Linked DNA regions of Arabidopsis thaliana. The protein of the gene in region 2 purifies or fractionates together with the protein of the main gene of each other region. This does not show direct contact. Each region holds a gene or a part of one and is shown on either strand. Other genes may lie near its edges.

Region 1 (5,808 bases), on a different chromosome or scaffold from region 2:
TTTTAGGATAAATGAACATGAAATGTGGGAAAAGAGCAATACAGTATGATTGGCTACACATGTTGGTCTTGTCTTTCTCTAATTCTTGAGCCACACTATCATATGATTGCAGAATTTTTATTTATTAATTAATTCAGATTCTCTTGGTTCTCTGTTTCTTTTCCTTTTCTCAAGCATTGTGGATTTATCTCTCTCTCTTTTTTTCTTCTTTTTTTGATTTTACAAGGAAAGGGAAAAAGACTTGACATATAATGCAAAATGTGCAGAGGGAGAGGGAGAGCACATGTCATTACATGTGATTCTAATAATTTAGATTCTTCATTTCTCAGTAAAAAGAGAGACAAAAGCATTATGCTCTGCCAATTTTTTCTTCTTTATCTTTAGTTTTGAAAAGAAAGAAAACACACACACACACACACACACAAATGATTTTTCCTTGTAATAATAATATAATTGAAGTTGGAGAGTGACTACATATATTCAATCTATCTGGCATTTGTAAAAAACTTATCTCTTTATTCTATATTCAATCATTCAACATAGCAACATACTATTTTTGACCCAACAAAAGTAGCATTACACACTATTATATCCTAAAAGTATCCTAAATGTTGCAAGATTAACGCAGACATATAAACTTCATCAAATCCTAAACTCTCGATACTGGTTCCTTCTTTAACTCTCAAGCGTCTCTAATCCCAGTTCAGTTACTGAAATTGACAATACACAATTCTAGACAAAATTAAGTTGAAAGTTTGCAAATGTTGTTACGAAAATAGTTAAAGCGAAATTTCGTTAAACTATTTTATTGATTTAAGTAGATTTTAAGACCAAAGCAAAGAGACATAATCCTTCAAACAAAACAAACAGTCACGCCTAAGAAAACATCACAAACTCTCGACTTAATACTCCGATTACAAATAAGAGACTGACAAACTTTCAACCCTTCACTCAGTTGCTAGATTGACGCAACTCAGGTCGAACAAAGTCTGCATCAGCAGGCACAGAGATATCAACGGTAGGCCTGAGCTGTGCGCAGACCTCAATGGCACCATGGACTGGATCAGAGAAGAAGTTACTGATTAGGTCTCTGTTGATTGCTGCACCACTGTCCACAGCCACAAGAGCTTGTTGGGTCAGGATGTAGTCAAACCGTGGCGCCCATTTCCTCGAACCCAATCTTGCTGTGGTTGAGCAGTTGTCAACCATGAAGGACACTCCCCTGGCGTGCATAAATGGGTTTAGAGAGTCCACGGATTCAATCACACTCTCGTTGATGATTTCTGAGTAAGAGTGACCTTTCTTCCTCAAGATCTCAATCTACACAAATCCACATAGAAACCACGATGATTTAGATTCTAAGAAATCACTGAAAATTGATAGCATATTAAATTCTAGGGGTTGTCCAATGCGGCTAATTCGAACTAAAACCATACAAAAAAGAATTCAAAATTGAATACAAAACAGATCGATATCACAATTTCTCTGAAACAAAATGGAAGTAAGAAGAATCCAATTAGACTATACAAACCTATTGCAATGACAAAAATATTCCAATTAGAGGTATATTTTCTAAAATCTGAACGGAAATTGAAACCGACTCTACATTGCATAAACCGAAAAATCCAAAGCAAAGGTGGGCACACCAGATATAAACATAGACATACCTGAGCCATCATAAGTGCTACATAAACTCCAGCGGTGAAGGGATACAATGGACCCAAGTCACCAGCAGGTCTGGACTTCCTGACGCGTTCACCCACCTTCCACATTCTTGTCTGGTCAATATTTCCCATAGGGAATGCTGGCAAGCCTTCCTTTTCCTGTTATAAGTAAGAGAATCCATCAAAACTCCTGCACAAACTGTGTTTGGGTAATTGTAACAAAAGGAAGATTCGGAAGAGTCATTACATAGAAGCGACGACCGGCTAAGACAACACTTCGGATTTCGCTGCCACTTTGTACATCCTCGTAACATTCATAGAGAATCTCCATACAAGGATAGAAGGATGCGCTGTATGCAGTCTCAAAATCTTTTTTACCTTCTTCAGACAAGGAGTTGTACACAGCCAACATTCCCTGATGTTCACAATTCATTAGAAACAGGTTTTAAATTTTTATATTTGGCTAAAAACGAATTAGTCTGTTCTCTACAGATATCTTCCTACTAACCTGGGTAGAGATAGTCCTTGAAATTGTTCCTGTGATGCATTCTACTGTGTTCTTGTAAGCCAAGTCTTCACTCATCCCATTTTCGGTGTATCTTCTAAACAGAGACTCCACGATTCCGTGAACAGCACCAAGCAAAATTCCTTTTAACAAAAAAGAAGAAGATATGTAAGTATGGGATTGAGTGATATAAAGACAGGTCTAAAAGGGGATCAAACTCACCTCTTTCTCCAAAGATGTCACTCCTGTACTCCTGTTCAAGAGTAGTAGCAAAAGTAAACGGAGAACCAAGTGCTACTGACCATCCCAATGCAACATCGGCGGCTCTACCGTCAACATCCTGCCAACAGAATAGCAGAAATAGTGGTGAAAAAATGAACACATGAGGTATAAGAGCTTTTCAGTAAAGATAGCTTTTGCAGTAGAGATAAAGAGATAGAAAACCTGGTGGACTGCAAAACTGGCGTTGATTCCAGCACCGTTAATTTCTTTTCCTTGGACGTAAAGCCTCCTCACAGAAGGACCCATTCCCTTAGGGCATACAGCGACCACACTGATGTTCTTTGGGAAATCGAGTCCCGAGGACTGTAAATGCCCTAGTAGAAACCCGTGTGATAAACCAAGAATGCTGTTTGGCTTCATGTGAGAGAATATTTTCTCATAGTTATCAGCCTGCAAAAACAGGATAGAATAAAATCGATGTATACACCTTAGGACTAATACCTCAACAAGTAGTAGTGGAAATATATAACAAAAGTGCACTTACTTGAGCAGCATCAGAGATCAAAAGCAATACAAGATCACTGCCAGCGATAGTTTCCCATATATCACCCAAAGTACCACTTTCTTCAGTGAAGCCAGCAGCACGTGCCTCCTCAAATGAGCGAGACCCTTTTCTGAGACCAATCTACGTAATAGTATATTAAAACGAAAACAAAGTCAGAACAGAGCCTTCACGTAACAACAGAAAGCAAACAAATACAAGTATGAAGCCAACTCTGCAGTTGAAATACCTTGACAACAATGTCAGACTTTGCCTCCACAAGTGAATCCCTTAAATTCTGAGCCTGGGCAGGTCCCTGCATATATAGATAAAGCGTTTATTACAAGAGAAGAGATGCTGAATAAAAAGAATATGAAACAATATATTAATCTTGTTCATTCCACCAACTCAAATGCATCAAAAGTATGAAAATGAAAACACTTTATTCATATCCTTTTTCTGACCAATTTCGTATCACAACACAGAACCAAGATTCCTTATTCGCAATCCAACGTAAGCAATTTAAAAAGCAATCAAACAAGAAGCACAGTAGCTACAGATAAAGAGACCAAAAAAGGTAAGTACCTGAGATCCCCAGCCAATCACACCAATCTGCTTAATCCCCTTGAAAGCATCTGGGAGATGCTTGAACAAGTCTCTTCCTCCTCTCACAATGTACTAAAACAAAGATCAGCAGAAACCAAACATTAGCAACAACTAACAAAATCAATACACATCAAAATGATTATAGAATAAGCACAAATTAGAACAGAAATGAATAAGAGGGTAAATGAGATAAACCTCTTCGTAACCAGCAAGAGAAACTTTCTCCTTTTTGAAGACAGATGTCTCAAAATCGAGAGAAACAGGGGCTTTGACCGCAGACGAAGAAACCATGCGAGCGGCAAGGGAGGATCCAGTGGCGCCATTTCCAGCGACGGTGGCAGTAAGCGACCTCAGAGACTTGGAAGAAGACGAGAGGAAACCGATATTGGGTAGAGCCAAGGTTCTGGCTTTGGAAGACCAAAGGGTTTTGGATGAAGAAGAAGGAGATGGGCATGAAAGAGAAGGAGCGATGGATGAAGTAGCCGCCGCCATTTTCTAAGTTGTAGCAAATTGACTGCGCAAAGAGAAGAGAGCTCACAAATTAGGGTCGCAGAGTCAGTGTGAGAGAAGTTAATAAGCGCACACAGTTTACCTACTCATCACCACCAAGAGACAGATATGAGAAAAATAAAATAAAACAAATCCATGTATTTATAATGGGCCTAGGCCTATTAGTTTAAAAGGCCCATTAAAGTAAATGTGGACGTTCTTTCTATTGGTTGGTGTTGGTCCATCAACTGCTTCAATGTTGACTTCCCAGCGGTGGAGGATACATAGGTGTCTAGTCTATATCAGGGTTTCAAAGTCAACGTAATAGACGGTTCAGATTTAACAGAGGTAGCTTAGATCTGATGGTTTTGAAGTAGCTCAGATTGAAGTAATGGTATACACTACACACACCTAACGCGAAACCTCTACGTTTCTTCGTCTTCGCGACTCGTGAGATTGTTGTAATCACAGTTCGGGAAAGACTTAACATTTAAGATTTACGGGTTTGTTTGATCGATTAGTCTCATCTGGGTTTTTCTCCAAGTTAAATTCTTTGTTTCTGAGATGGATCAAGCTTCGTCTTCTTCGACTATGGAGGAAGACAAGAAGTCTTCCACTGATCCTGTGAATGTCGATGATAACGAGGAGAGAGAAGCTATAGAGATTGCTCTGTTCCAAGTGCCTGAATGCTATGTTTATTTGGTAACTTTTCTTGGCTTATCATGAGATGTGATTTTATAATTTTTGATGAGTTTTGTGTCTTTTATGCTCAAGTTACATCCTTTCTTTGCAAGTTCACTTGGTGATTTTAGGAGATGTTTTGGATCTGATAATTAGTTATAACGTAAATTCAATCTGGTGTTATAGATTTCTTGCAATGGTATTGAGGAAGTTGTCTTAATTTGCATATGTTGAAAACTTGACGTTGAGTCTTGATCACTCGAAATTTTGTTTGGATTTGCAATGGTGATCGATTGCACATGTAACTATCAGCGAAAAATCTTTTCAAGGAGATTTCGTATGATAGATTCAAGGCTTGTGATAAAAGAGTACATTAATTTTAACCAATATCATGCTAAGTGATATCTTGATGGGGTCTCTCTGAAATCATACTAGCTTTTGAGATACTCGTGAAATTGTTACATGGTCATTGTGTTATAGGATGTATGAGATTCCAAATTGGCTACCTTGATGAAATCATAGACATTGTGAACTGTTGTTATTTAGGTTTAACTATAAAATTCTCATTCGTAATGGACAACATTGGAGCTTGATGTATCAATGTTATTTTATCGTTTATGCTTTCTTCTGTGTCTGTTACTTTACGGGGATGCTAGGCAAAGTAACCTCTTCATTGTCTTTTTGTTTGTGTATGCAGATACCTCCAAGGAAAACCGCAGCTTCGTACAGGTTCTTTCTTACCTTTATGATAGAAACAGTCATTCTGATATATGTAGTTAGGAGATTTTTACAAAACCCCTTTTCCCGATAAACCCTTCGGCTTAGCAAATGATCAGAAACTCGGAACGAATCTTATTGAACCAATCGTGAAGTATGTATGACTATGAATGGTAGCTTAACCTTAATTTGCATCAAGATGGTCATTATCTAGTTACATTCGCTTTGTATCAACTCAACTTGGCTTCTTTGGTAAAAGATACTTGAAAAAGTGCATCAAGTAATCCATTGGAAGATGGAGATAGACATCAGCTGATACTTTTTTTGTATAAATTTTATCCTTGCAGAGCAGATGAGTGGGACGTGAACAAATGGGCATGGGA
Region 2 (4,979 bases):
ACCTAAAGAATTTAGAAGTTGGGCCAAGTGAATACTTGAATTGATCATTTGTAGCTCAAAATTGAAGTTTTCGATAGATGTATGAAATTATTATTCATTGGACATATAAAAATATTAAAGAAAACACTACAAAATCTCTCGAGGGAAGTGGTCAATTCGTGACAAAAATGTTATTTAGATGGTTGACAAAAAGATATCTGATTCTATAAGGATTAACTGGTTCACAGTTTGATTAACATGTTTTAGACTTTGAGGGCTCTCGATTGGATTAGACACAATGAGTGTTGGTACGAGTTAGAGAGTTTGTGATAGCATTTGGTTACAATTACAACTTACAAGAGTCCCATATTTAGAGCATAGAGATCCTTTTTGAGGGTCATGTTGGGAGAACCAAACCATTATTATGTCACACACTTACGGACCAAACCACCGTAGAGAAACACACTTGAGGATGATTCCTTGGCCACAAAGAGGGCAAACATCCACAAATTGAAAAGTTGTGAAGTTTGGGATCACTTATGCAAATTATTAAGAGCCTCTTGAATTCAGACTTTCATGATTTTTGCAAGGAGTTATTAGTTATTACAAACTTCGAATAAAGCTTTGTCTGTTTTGGTTTTTAATTTTGAGACCATGATACGCCTAATATTCTGATAAACAAAAACCCAAATCATGCCTGCTGGCTCAATTCAACAACAAAAGAAGCAAACTAAGCGTAAAACAGAATTCAACCACATCATAAGAGGGTTGAAGATACGCAACGCAGTGTTGTGTTGTGAAAAGTTCAAGAATCTGGAAAACACCATCAAGAAAGACATAGATTAAAAATTACACATTCGAGTAACAAACAACGACACTTACTGTCTTCACTTCAAGATTCAGGATGCAGCAAGAGTCGTTTCTCTTCTCACAGAGGATTTAGTTCTGCAATGATTCAGTAATTCCATGAGTGGTCTAATTGTCAATGCAAAATGGAAAAATCAGTAAGTAGCTTAACTTATAACAAAACTGGCTTTTCATACCTCATCTTGAGGCTCATCAGCACCTTTGGTTCTCTCATCTAAGAGGGGAAAAAAAAAAGGTGAGTGAAAAAGCTTTGGAAGAGAAACAAGAAACTAGTAATGTTTTCTGCTACAAACATATAACTTTTACAAGATTAGCTAGAATCCAATAACTATGAGATGGTAGATTGGTATGTTTTTTGTTGAGGCTTTCAAAACTAAAATGAAAGATCTACATAGCAATACATGCATAAAGGACGGTTTAATTCAAATATAGACAGATGGTTAATGGTTACGAGTTCCCAAACATCAACATTTTTACTCCAAGGTAACGCTCTTAACAGCTCATTTGATTCTAAGGAAACCATTTGATCATGAGATAGGGAAACAAAAGAAAATAAGAATACCTCCTTCCTCATTAAGGTCTGAAGTCCACAAGGTGAGATTGTCTCTAAGTAGCTGCATAATAAGAGTGCTGTCTTTGTATGATTCCTCGTTGAGGCTGTCAAGTTCAGCAATTGCATCATCGAATGCTTGCTTAGCCAATTGGCATGCGCTGTACAATACATAGTTTCATAGTGTCAGAAAATGACCACAGATTCCACTATTATGTTCAATCCAAAATACAAAAACAAACCTTTCGGGAGAGTTCAAGATCTCATAGTAGAAAACTGAAAAGTTCAACGCCAAGCCAAGTCTAACTGGATGTGTGGGTGCCAAACCATTCTCTGCAGCAGCAACAGCAGCCTACATTCCCAGTACGAAAAAAGCAAGACTTGTCTTAGGTTATTCCCAGCTCAAATATAAGAGGGGTGGCACAAAAATAAGAAAACAAATAAACATGATCAAAGGACCTTATATGCTTCAAGAGACTGATCTGCAGCTTCCTTGCGTTCAGCACCAGAACTGAACTCCGCAAGATAGCGATAGTAATCTCCTTTCCTACATAGAAAGAAAAAAAAACACGTAAAGTCAAAACAGTGAAACAAGGAAAAGTTCATGAATCATCATCATTTCAGGAAGAACACAAGCAAGAGTGGTAGCTATGTAATAACTTAAACATTTAACTTTAGTCAAACGGAAATGATCTCATTCTTAGTCACACAAATATCACATGAATGGTCAGAGTATAATAAAGATGACACTCACATTTTGTAGAAAAAGACAGTTGACTCCACAGCGTTAGACGATGGAATGAGATGCTTATCAATGACAGACAAGATGTCATTACAAACTTTAGCAAGCTCATCTTCAACTCTCTTACGATAATTCTTAAGCCTCTTGACATTTTCATCATTTCCCTTGGACTCTTCCTTCTGCTCAATGGAAGATAGTATTCTCCATGATGCTCTCCTTGCACCAATCACATTCTTGTACCCTACAGATACAAGATTCCTCTCTTCCACAGTTAGCTCCACATCAAGCTGAGCAACTTTCTTCATCGCCTCCACCATTTCTGCATCATCACCAACAAAAAAAAAATATCCGATCTTTGAATTTGCTTCCAAAAACGTAGATCTATTTCATTTTCATGCTAAGAGATTCGACAACAGTAAGTATAAAATTATATCAAGATAAGATCAAGAGTGATCAGAGTATCTAAACAACATTAAACAAGAAATTACTTAAAGGTCGCATCTAAAAGTCCAGATCAAGTAACAGCCCAGAAACATACAAATCGGTAAAGGGCTACAAAGAAAATCTATGGAAATGTAAAAACAATTTCGATCGGAGCAATAAAAGATCGGATTTTTTCAGAAACATGAACAAATCATTTTCTGAATAGAGATCCAGAAATCGGAAAATACCATCGTATCTTTCGGTTTGCTCGGAGAGCTTAGCCAAGTAAACCTGCTTTTCCCTCTCATTCTCCATAGTTTTTTCTTCTTCTTCTTCTTCTTCTTCCTTCTCTGTCTCTCTGAAGTCTGAATCAAAAATGGATGCTTTGATTTGATTGATTTCGAGATTAGTAGTAACCCTAGGATCCTCTCATAGTGGTATTATATCAGCCGTTGGATCTACTTTTTTTAGTCAACAAAACTCAGAAACATAAGTTTTATAAATTATAAAGTAGCCACAAAGGTTTAGTTTTTACACAGAAAGAACCTAAAACTAATATATGTTTCTTATTAAACCCCGATCTAGTCAATAACGTAAAAGGTTAACGACGCTGACCGTGATAAACGGAGAAAGACATGTCCTCTTGTCCATTATTTTAAGGGTTTGTGTTCTTTTCTATATTATATAACACAATCCAAATCATAGATTTTTTTTATGCCAATCCAAATCCAAATCCAAATCAATCACAGATTGAAACTCAAAGAAATTTTCTTTTGAAGAAAAAATTTGGTTTCTGTCAAATGTTTTGTACATGGCCCTTTCAAATTCTATATCCTGTAGTTAGCTACAACACGCTTTTAGTTTGCATAAAATATAAAATCTGAACTAGAATGAGAAAACAATTTGTTCCAGGTAAAAGAAATGGTCACTGAACTCGGTTGATTTGTGAGCTGAAATACTGTTGAAGCTCATTAGTCGTTGTCGGTAGGCTTTTCGTCATTTCTGAATTCGATAGAGTCGCCAAATTCTCCATGTTACCATCTCTTTTCTTCATATCATCGTCGTTGTCCTCAACTCCATTCAGAAAATCTGCATTATCATCTTTCTGCATCAGACTGGTTTTCACTCGATCTGCTTCATTGCCATTCTCTACGGCTTTTGCTTCCTCAAACACCTCACTGCTGGTTCTTCCACTCTCAAGGTACTGCATTGTCTCAGAGTCCATGGAATCAGAGTTACCTAGTAAAGATTCGTTAGCTATCACTGGTTGTTGTCCTAGAGTCTTGTTGTCAGATTGCAAGTAATAATGTTGGTTCTTGCTTGGGGATTCAAGAAGTGATCGTAGATATGTGGAGACTTCCTTGCAGGTTTCAAACTGTTGCCCATCAGGGCTATATAATCAAAAACAAAAGAGAAAATTTTCAGAATCCTGAACTAAAAGTGATAACAACAGCTAGAATCCTAGAACGGCAGAGAGTACACAAACGAACTATAAGCAATTTCAGTAGCAGCCCTTAATTCATGTAAACATCTTTTATCATGTTCAAGAAGATGGAGAAACAAACAAGAGGGACAATCAAAAGTCTAGCAGCAGAAACTAAAACATCATATACCAAATCCTATAAAACTATATCTTCAATAGTAACAAAGTGTTAGTTTTGCTATAACCAATTCCACAGCCAATACTAGGTCTATTTTATAATCCAACTAGAAACAGAACCAGTGAAGAACATAAACATTATTATACCTTATGTATCTGCGACAAGCCAGCAACAAATTGCTACCTTTCCTTTTGATGTAGAGCATAAGTCTCCATCCTCTAGGCAAGTATCCTCCATAATCACAAGCATTCACAACTTTCTTCTTCTTCCCTATATTCACCCATTCACCATTCAATTGTTCCAAGAAACCTAAGATCTCTTCCTTTGTCTTCAACCCAACGGTGATCCTCCTCAGCTCCTCTTCGTATGGATCCTCTGAAACACTAGCCAATGCAGAGAGATCCACAATTGTACCTTCTCTGTTCTCCAAGTTCACTACTAACTCTTCCTTATCAAACGCAGAAATATTCACAATTGCACTGTCTCTCTTCTCTAGGTTCATTATCTCTTCCTTATTCTTTGGAGGACGACCTCTCTTTCTCTTCACTGAATTTGAATCCAGGGAGATTCCTGAACTACCAACTCTACTCACCATTCCCAAATTGCTACTAGTTTTATCTACAAACACATACGTAGATGCTTCACCAGTTAAATCCAAAACCTCATTCTCTTCGCTAGGGTTCCGAATCTTCCTCGGCCGTCCACGCTTCCTCTTTATTTTATTCCCGGAGGTTCCCTGAATCAGAACGTTCTGAATCGAATCAAGATTAGGTCTCTGATAAACATAGCTGTTATAATGGATCTGACCTTCGTTATC
Region 3 (7,087 bases), 2.0 Mb from region 2:
TCTTCTTTACCTGTATTATAGTAGGTGGTTTAATGTCAAATTCGTTTGATTCTTTTCCGACGGTTTTGTGAATTTTGTCGGTGAAATATAGTTTATTTGCTTGAGAATTTTGTGTTCTATAAGAACAGCTTGATTGCTTTTGAAACAAGTAATTATAAACCAAGATTTATTCAACACGGAATGTGGACTAAATTAGTAATAATTGAAAACAAGAGAGTAAATATTCGATTACACAGGAAATAAAAGTGGTGATTTTTCAATTTAACCAAAGTGATGAACAATGATCACAGGTTCAGTGAAACACCGACATATATGGCCTACAATTGATCTCAGCAGAGCATATCAGGTGAAATTTCTGCTGTCACCGGAAAACAAGACTACATTACAGACTACAGATCATATGAATGCTCTAAATATTGTTTTTACTTCTCTGAGGAACACAACATTGTTCGATTCCTCTTTATGTAAATTTTGAGATAGGGAAAAACTAAGAGAGTGTTTTAGACAGTATGAGCTGCACGGATCATCCTTTGGTCAATTTGTTTGAGTTTGATCACAGATTCTAAATGCCTTGACACTGAATGAACCTCTAGAAGCCTACCAAATGAAAAACAATATAGTTATTTTGGTAGTATGTGAAAATGGAAGAGAATACCCAAAACGGGGTATAGATAAAAAGAGAACCTGGCGATTTCTGCACGCCTCCTGGTTTGTTCAGCGATCCAAGAAGCGCGAGAACGGCTTCCTCTGAGTTCTTCTGCGGAACGACTTCTCTGAGAGATGGTTACATTGGGCGATCCATCATCTTTCCCATAATCTTTCTTGTAAGTAAAAGCTGTCTGCAAGACAAACCAACGGTCTCATCTTCAAGAAAATGCATAGTTTAAGTGTGAGACTGACTAACAAGCAGAGGACAAGAGACACAGGACATGTACCAACCTTACGGTCCAATACGAGATTCCAAGCTTCTCCACTCAATGCGTAGTGAAAGACAAACTTTATAACATCTAGAGGTATGTAAAATATCAGACTGTATAACCATATAACACCTGCCCATCTCCATCCAATGCCGGTGATTTTAGCAAAGCTGATGTTGGCATACACAGCAATTAATGTAGCCGCCTGTGTACATGAAATGGACAAGTCAATATCACGACCTATGTGTGCTATATAGCATTCTGTGATGGAAAAAATGCGAAGTATGGGGAATTCGTACAAGTTGAGCAAGAATGAAGGCAAAAATCAGGAGAGTCCCGGGACGTTCAAAAAATGACCAGCCTCGACTACGTGTTACAAATATGAGTGCCTGACTGATGATGCTCACTTGGAGATACATCGCGGATGACACTTGTTCACTGTTGTTGGCAATTGATTTTACATGGAAGTGTTTCTGCAGCCATTAAAGATTGGTCACCGGTATGCATTCTTCTCGGTAAGCAAAATCTAACTTACTTTGAGTGATAGGAAGATACCTCGAAGAAGGTGGTAGAAACAATGATCCAGTAAAACAGGACGGTGACCAATGCTAGATATGTTCCAATGACAATTCCTGTCGCAAATATCTGGTTGAGCTTCCAACTCTCGGGTGTAGGAGATGGCCTAACTCGATCTTTAGAAATAGTCATGATAGTCCCTGATGCGTAGGAGATAAACATAGCGTTTGAAAGTGATAAAAATTAGGTTACATCAATATGAAGCTATTGATTAAGAGATTACCGTCATTGAGTATTGCGATTATCAGAACCATGAAAGGTGGGAAGTCGTATTCCCATATCAACGCTAAAAGTGTAAAACCAAGCTGCATGAAACAATGTCAAGAAGAGAAAGTTCAAGTAAGTTGATGTAACTTAACTAACATGAGTTAGATCATGTATCATGAAGCTCCTTACCACTATGCGTATGGTGATAGAGACTGCATATACCTGCAGATTCGTACTGATTAGTCGGTAATTCAGAGAAAAACATAAGCTAGTTGAGAATGTCATCAGGCTACTTGAAATCCATATCCTATATTATATGATTTTTCATTTCTTTAGCTATCAGGGATCAGATGATAGTAGTATAACTATAACTTTAGTACTTACTGTATAGTTCCTCATCCGCTGGAAAATGGCTCTGCTGGTCAAGACAGCACTGATAATTACACTTAAGCCGGGATCAGTTAGTACTATGTCAGCAGAACTTCTTGCAGCATCTGTTGCATCTGCGACAGCTATTCCGATGTCAGCTTTTTTGAGAGCAGGAGCATCATTCACACCATCTCCGGTCATTCCAACCACATGCTTCATTTCTTGTAAAATCTTTACAATCTCATACTTATGTTCTGTAACATGAGAGACAAAAAAAATTTGGGATTAGAAATGAGAGCAAATCTTAAATTTCGTAGGTACTAAGGTTGTGTTAGAATATGACCAGGGAAAACTCCAGCAAATCCATCTGCCATTTCAATTAGCTCATCCACTGGAATGGCTTCATGCTCATCATTGTTGTGGCCTAACAAAGAGGAAGAAGGATACATGTTGGTTCCCATTCCAAGACGTCTGCCTGTCTCCTTTGCAATCGCCAATTGATCACCTACATGTGGTTCCAAACTTATCATTCATTTTCCCAGAGTTTTACCGTTTACTCACAAGGGTATATGTGTTTCTCTGTCGGGCCAAGCCTACCAAGCTAAAGGTTAAGATTTACCAGTGATCATCTTAACGCAAACTCCCAGGCTAAGAGCTCTAAGGATGGTTTCACCGCTATCATGCCTTGGGGGATCAAACAGTGGCAACAGACCACAGAACCTCCATGGTCCTCCAGGACTGTTGTTGCTTTTCTCTGGAATTTCCTAGAAACAATTATTTAAATGATGCAATGAATTGGAGTAATTAATGTCATCATAACGTTCTTCTTCAAAAGTACACTTATGATAAAACCAGCTCAAGAGAGAAAGGGAGAGGACAATGATGTTACCTGATAAGCAACCGCAAGAGACCTCAAACCTTTTTCTGCAAATCTATCAATGATGGCATAAACTCTTTGCGCAATCTCATTTTTCTGCTGACACAAGTTTAGAACCTATAATATAGTGCAGTTGTATTAGTGATGGTATTTCTTTCATGGAAACAGTACAAAAAAATTCACTAAATTTTTACAACTAGAGTCAGTTTGGTAGTGCTAAGAATACATACCTGTTCAGGAGCACCTTTGGTAGCACGATACCATTTTCCATCGGAATCAATATACGTTATTGCAGTACGTTTGTCCACAGGATTGAATGGTAAGAAATGGATTTCTCTAATGTTTGCACGTGCCTACAGATAAACAACCTTTGTATGAGAAAAACTTCTAAGAAGGTGATAGTCTTATAAAAGAGAGTTCATGTTAGAGAAACATCTCTACCTCTCTGGGATCTGCAAGCATGCTAACAATGGCTGCATCTATAGCATCCTGATTTTCTAGTCGTGAAGCTCGGCCTGCAAGCAACAAAATTGTATCCTTGTCCATGTAGTCAACGAATACCTGTGCAGAAGGATTTGTACATTTAAACACCAACAATAGAGAACAAGACGATGAAGAAGGAGGCAACTGTTCTTAACAGTATTGTTTGATGAAATTCAAGTCGCATCTGTAGTATTGGTACCTCAATAAGATTTTTATCAACGGTAAGACTGTTCAAAGTAAGGGTTCCAGTTTTATCACAGCAGAGTACATCCATCCCAGCCATTTCCTCTATTGCGGTCATTCTTTTCGTAATGGCACCCTTAGAGAACATGAAGAAACAGATTATTGCTAACAAACTGTTTTAAAGAATAACAAACAAAGGACTTCCTTTTGCATTCAGCAGCTTAAAGTGGGATGTACCTGTTGTGAAAGTCGATGAGATCCAATGGCAAGCGTTACAGATAGTACAGTGGGCATGGCAATGGGTATCCCTCCAATCAGTAGTACAAGAAGATTATTGATCCCAATTCTGTAAGAGCGATGTTGTACAGGGAACATGATAATGATTTCAAGAACCATTCCAACAGCAATGGAGCAAATGCAGAAGTTTCCAATCGATGTAAGAACCTAGAAGAAAACATGTCAAAGACTACATTCGGTTTTTCCAGATTCCAAGTTCACTAATCAGGTTCTATCCAACCAAAAGGGAAAGAAAGAAGGAAAACCTGCTGAAAATGTCCAGTTACATCTGTACTGTCCACCAAGCGTGCTGTTTTTCCAAAGAAGGTGGTCGATCCAGTTGCTATCACAACAGCTTCTATTTCACCTTGTTTACAAGTAGAGCCAGAAAAGACCTGTTCACCCTTCTTCTTGGTCACAGGTAGTGATTCTCCGGTCAGCACTGACTGCAGGAATAAATGTTTTAACTATTCTGTCAGAGAAAGTCTTTACATAGTACACACTAAAAGAATAGAGACTAGATATTCTGGACGTACCTGATCAATCTTCAAGGGGTCTCCTTCAAGAAGGCGAGCATCTGCAGGAATGATATCCCCAAGCTTAATGCTAATTATATCACCAGGTACCAAGATAGAAGCATCTTGTTCTTGCCACTGTCCATCTCTAAGAACCTATAAGAGTGGATCTAAATCAAATTTAAGGTAATATAGAAATTAAAGTGCAGCTAACTTTGCCGTTTCGGCTCATAGGAAGGTTAAGAGCCATACTCTTGTTTTTAAAGCCAAGCGAGCCATAAGAGCTGCAGCAGCATTCCCAGCATTGTTTTCTTCAAAGAAGCTGATTGTTGCGTTGATCAGCAAAAGGCAAACGATTCCAGTAAAGTCTTCCCAGTCAGGACCTAGACTCTGTAATACCATTTTCACCATGAGTTTCAAGGTGCTTTTTCATAAACACTCATGGATGGAAAATGGTAGCAAAACTGTGGTTGTCTTACTTGACTATTAGCGAGGGCAATGGCCATCAATGCAGCAGCTTCCATAACCCATGACAAGGGATTCCACATAAAACCTAAGAATTTCACAAATCTGTTCTCCTGTATCATTGTTGTTTTAAATGGCGGTTAGCACAAGATAATAGAGACAATTGGCAGGAACACTAAGAAGAATGTCATGTTTATTACCTGTTTCTCTTCAAGTCTGTTAGGACCAAATATCTTCAATCTCTCTTCAGCATCTCCAGATAAAAGCCCTTGAGGCGATGTTCTTAGGTATTCAAAAACCTCCTCCAACGGCAATATACCCTGTCAAGCTCAAGAAGGGTCAAAACCCTTTTTTGCCACTAAGAATTCAAGTACTAATAAGAGTATACAGTTAAAAGGAACATTTACCAAATCAATTCCTTTTCTGTTGAAAGTATCAGGATCCAGCAATGGCTTGTCCAAATCCTCGGCCATACTTAAAAGCTTCAAAATGTATTACCAGGATCCGATACTAATTTCGTCGTTAAGAATATACCAGGAACAGAAGAGAAACAGGAATCCTTAAAAAGAATCCAGGAATATTGAAACTGAAACGACCATTCCATGGCTGACCAGTTGATAGAGTGTGGAGAAGAGGAGATTCTCCTGCAAGTCTCAATTGGTATCACCATTATTGGAAGCATAAGAGAGTTTGCGAACAGTAGATGTGAAAGACGACGAAAAAAGCAGAGAGAGAGAGAAAGAAGAGTGGTTAAAGATCTCACTTCTCTACCTAACGGTCACTCTCACTAGCTTCCTCTTTTTAACTTAACTTAACAACCACTGTTACGTCAACTGTTCTCATAGGACTTGGTCTCCTCTCATGTTACGTAGAAAATGAAATTGAGAAAGGATTAACGATGGACCAATGGTATGAGAAAATTGATCACAGGAATAATGAAAGCGTCAGGACAAAGAAACAGATAAAAAAAATATTAAAGATGTACGACAAGTCTAATTTTGTTATGTCTGGGCTATTCCCCCTTAGTCAACACTGGCCAACAAGTTTTTTCATCTTCTTTGTCTGTTTCTCGTCTTGTTCTTGTTCTCACCATGACTAATGAGGGGAGATTCAAAGCCAAAGGTTTTGTGAGAACTTCATCAACCACAAGACCAATACAAGCTCTGAGTTTTCACATGATTGGCATACTCCTTCAGTGTGTTCTTTTCATCAGTGTCCTTTCTATTGCAGTTTCAGAGGCTCTCTGCAACTCGCAAGATCGAGAATCCCTACTGTGGTTCTCTGGAAACGTTTCTTCTTCTGTTTCTCCTCTGAATTGGAACCCATCCATTGATTGTTGCTCATGGGAAGGAATAACCTGCGATGATTCCCCGGATAGCCACATCACTGCAATCTCATTGCCCTTTAGAGCACTATATGGTAAACTCCCTTTGTCTGTTCTGCGTCTCCACCATCTCTCTCAACTCAATCTTTCTCATAACCGTCTCTCCGGTCATCTCCCATCTGGCTTTCTCTCAGCCCTTGATCAGCTCAAAGTTCTTGATCTTAGTTACAACAGCCTCGATGGTGAGTTGCCAGTTGAACAAACATTTAGAAATGGAAGCAACAGATGTTTCCCAATTCGGATAGTTGATCTGTCAAGCAATTTTCTCCAAGGCGAAATCCTCCCTAGTTCTATTTTTATGCAAGGAACTTTCGATTTAATCAGTTTCAATGTCAGCAAGAACAGCTTCACAGGCTCAATCCCTTCGTTTATGTGCAAGAGTTCACCGCAGCTCAGCAAACTGGATTTCTCCTACAATGATTTTACCGGTAATATTCCGCAAGGACTAGGGAGATGTTTGAAGCTAAGTGTTCTACAAGCAGGCTTCAACAATATCTCTGGTGAAATCCCAAGTGACATATACAATCTTTCGGAGCTCGAGCAACTCTTTCTACCCGTCAATCATCTTTCTGGAAAGATCAATGATGACATCACCCACCTCACAAAACTAAAATCGCTCGAGCTGTACTCCAATCACCTTGGAGGAGAAATACCAATGGACATAGGTCAGCTCTCTCGCCTGCAAAGCCTCCAACTCCATATCAATAACATCACTGGTACAGTCCCGCCTTCTCTTGCAAATTGTACTAATCTCGTCAAGTTGAATCTGAGGCTTAATCGGCTGGAAGGAACCTTATCAGAGCTTGACTTTTCCCGCTTTCAGAGCCTTAGCATT

What was found. Proteins that work in one complex are often made in the same cells at the same time.
Region 1: the proteins of GRF10 (region 2) and AT3G58610 purify together in Arabidopsis thaliana (affinity purification with mass spectrometry, with the first as the bait; one study listed by BioGRID). This does not show direct contact.
Region 3: the proteins of GRF10 (region 2) and AHA10 purify together in Arabidopsis thaliana (affinity purification with mass spectrometry, with the first as the bait; one study listed by BioGRID). This does not show direct contact.

The regions. Positions count from the first base shown.
Region 1 is NC_003074.8:21,669,783-21,675,590, reverse strand, and holds AT3G58610 (ketol-acid reductoisomerase), read right to left. Parts: upstream 4,159-5,808; 5' UTR 4,031-4,158; coding exon 3,734-4,030; intron 3,611-3,733; coding exon 3,518-3,610; intron 3,249-3,517; coding exon 3,183-3,248; intron 3,077-3,182; coding exon 2,936-3,076; intron 2,842-2,935; coding exon 2,614-2,841; intron 2,510-2,613; coding exon 2,392-2,509; intron 2,313-2,391; coding exon 2,173-2,312; intron 2,080-2,172; coding exon 1,912-2,079; intron 1,824-1,911; coding exon 1,668-1,823; intron 1,321-1,667; coding exon 952-1,320; 3' UTR 860-951; exon of another isoform or gene 706-859; intron 638-705; 3' UTR 501-637; downstream 1-500. Other genes in the region: AT3G58600 (Adaptin ear-binding coat-associated protein 1 NECAP-1), read left to right, coding at 4,592-4,729, 5,406-5,437, 5,773-5,808.
Region 2 is NC_003070.9:7,878,228-7,883,206, forward strand, and holds GRF10 (general regulatory factor 10), read right to left. Parts: upstream 3,169-4,979; 5' UTR 2,877-3,168; coding exon 2,810-2,876; intron 2,458-2,809; coding exon 2,151-2,457; intron 1,944-2,150; coding exon 1,856-1,943; intron 1,749-1,855; coding exon 1,639-1,748; intron 1,558-1,638; coding exon 1,409-1,557; coding exon of another isoform or gene 1,374-1,408; exon of another isoform or gene 1,061-1,373; coding exon 1,023-1,060; coding exon of another isoform or gene 1,017-1,022; exon of another isoform or gene 998-1,016; intron 925-997; coding exon 919-924; 3' UTR 532-918; downstream 1-531. Other genes in the region: MBD8 (methyl-CPG-binding domain 8), read right to left, coding at 3,487-3,952, 4,309-4,979. UniProt on the Arabidopsis thaliana protein: Is associated with a DNA binding complex that binds to the G box, a well-characterized cis-acting DNA regulatory element found in plant genes.
Region 3 is NC_003070.9:5,902,312-5,909,398, reverse strand, and holds AHA10 (autoinhibited H[+]-ATPase), read right to left. Parts: upstream 5,342-7,087; coding exon 5,276-5,341; intron 5,189-5,275; coding exon 5,069-5,188; intron 4,982-5,068; coding exon 4,883-4,981; intron 4,794-4,882; coding exon 4,656-4,793; intron 4,560-4,655; coding exon 4,425-4,559; intron 4,335-4,424; coding exon 4,155-4,334; intron 4,057-4,154; coding exon 3,850-4,056; intron 3,749-3,849; coding exon 3,629-3,748; intron 3,508-3,628; coding exon 3,388-3,507; intron 3,300-3,387; coding exon 3,177-3,299; intron 3,064-3,176; coding exon 2,959-3,063; intron 2,834-2,958; coding exon 2,689-2,833; intron 2,575-2,688; coding exon 2,413-2,574; intron 2,324-2,412; coding exon 2,085-2,323; intron 1,923-2,084; coding exon 1,890-1,922; intron 1,799-1,889; coding exon 1,717-1,798; intron 1,634-1,716; coding exon 1,473-1,633; intron 1,391-1,472; coding exon 1,217-1,390; intron 1,123-1,216; coding exon 940-1,122; intron 840-939; coding exon 685-839; and 3 more. Other genes in the region: RLP3 (receptor like protein 3), read left to right, coding at 5,960-7,087. UniProt on the Arabidopsis thaliana protein: The plasma membrane H(+) ATPase of plants and fungi generates a proton gradient that drives the active transport of nutrients by H(+)-symport. The resulting external acidification and/or internal alkinization may mediate growth responses.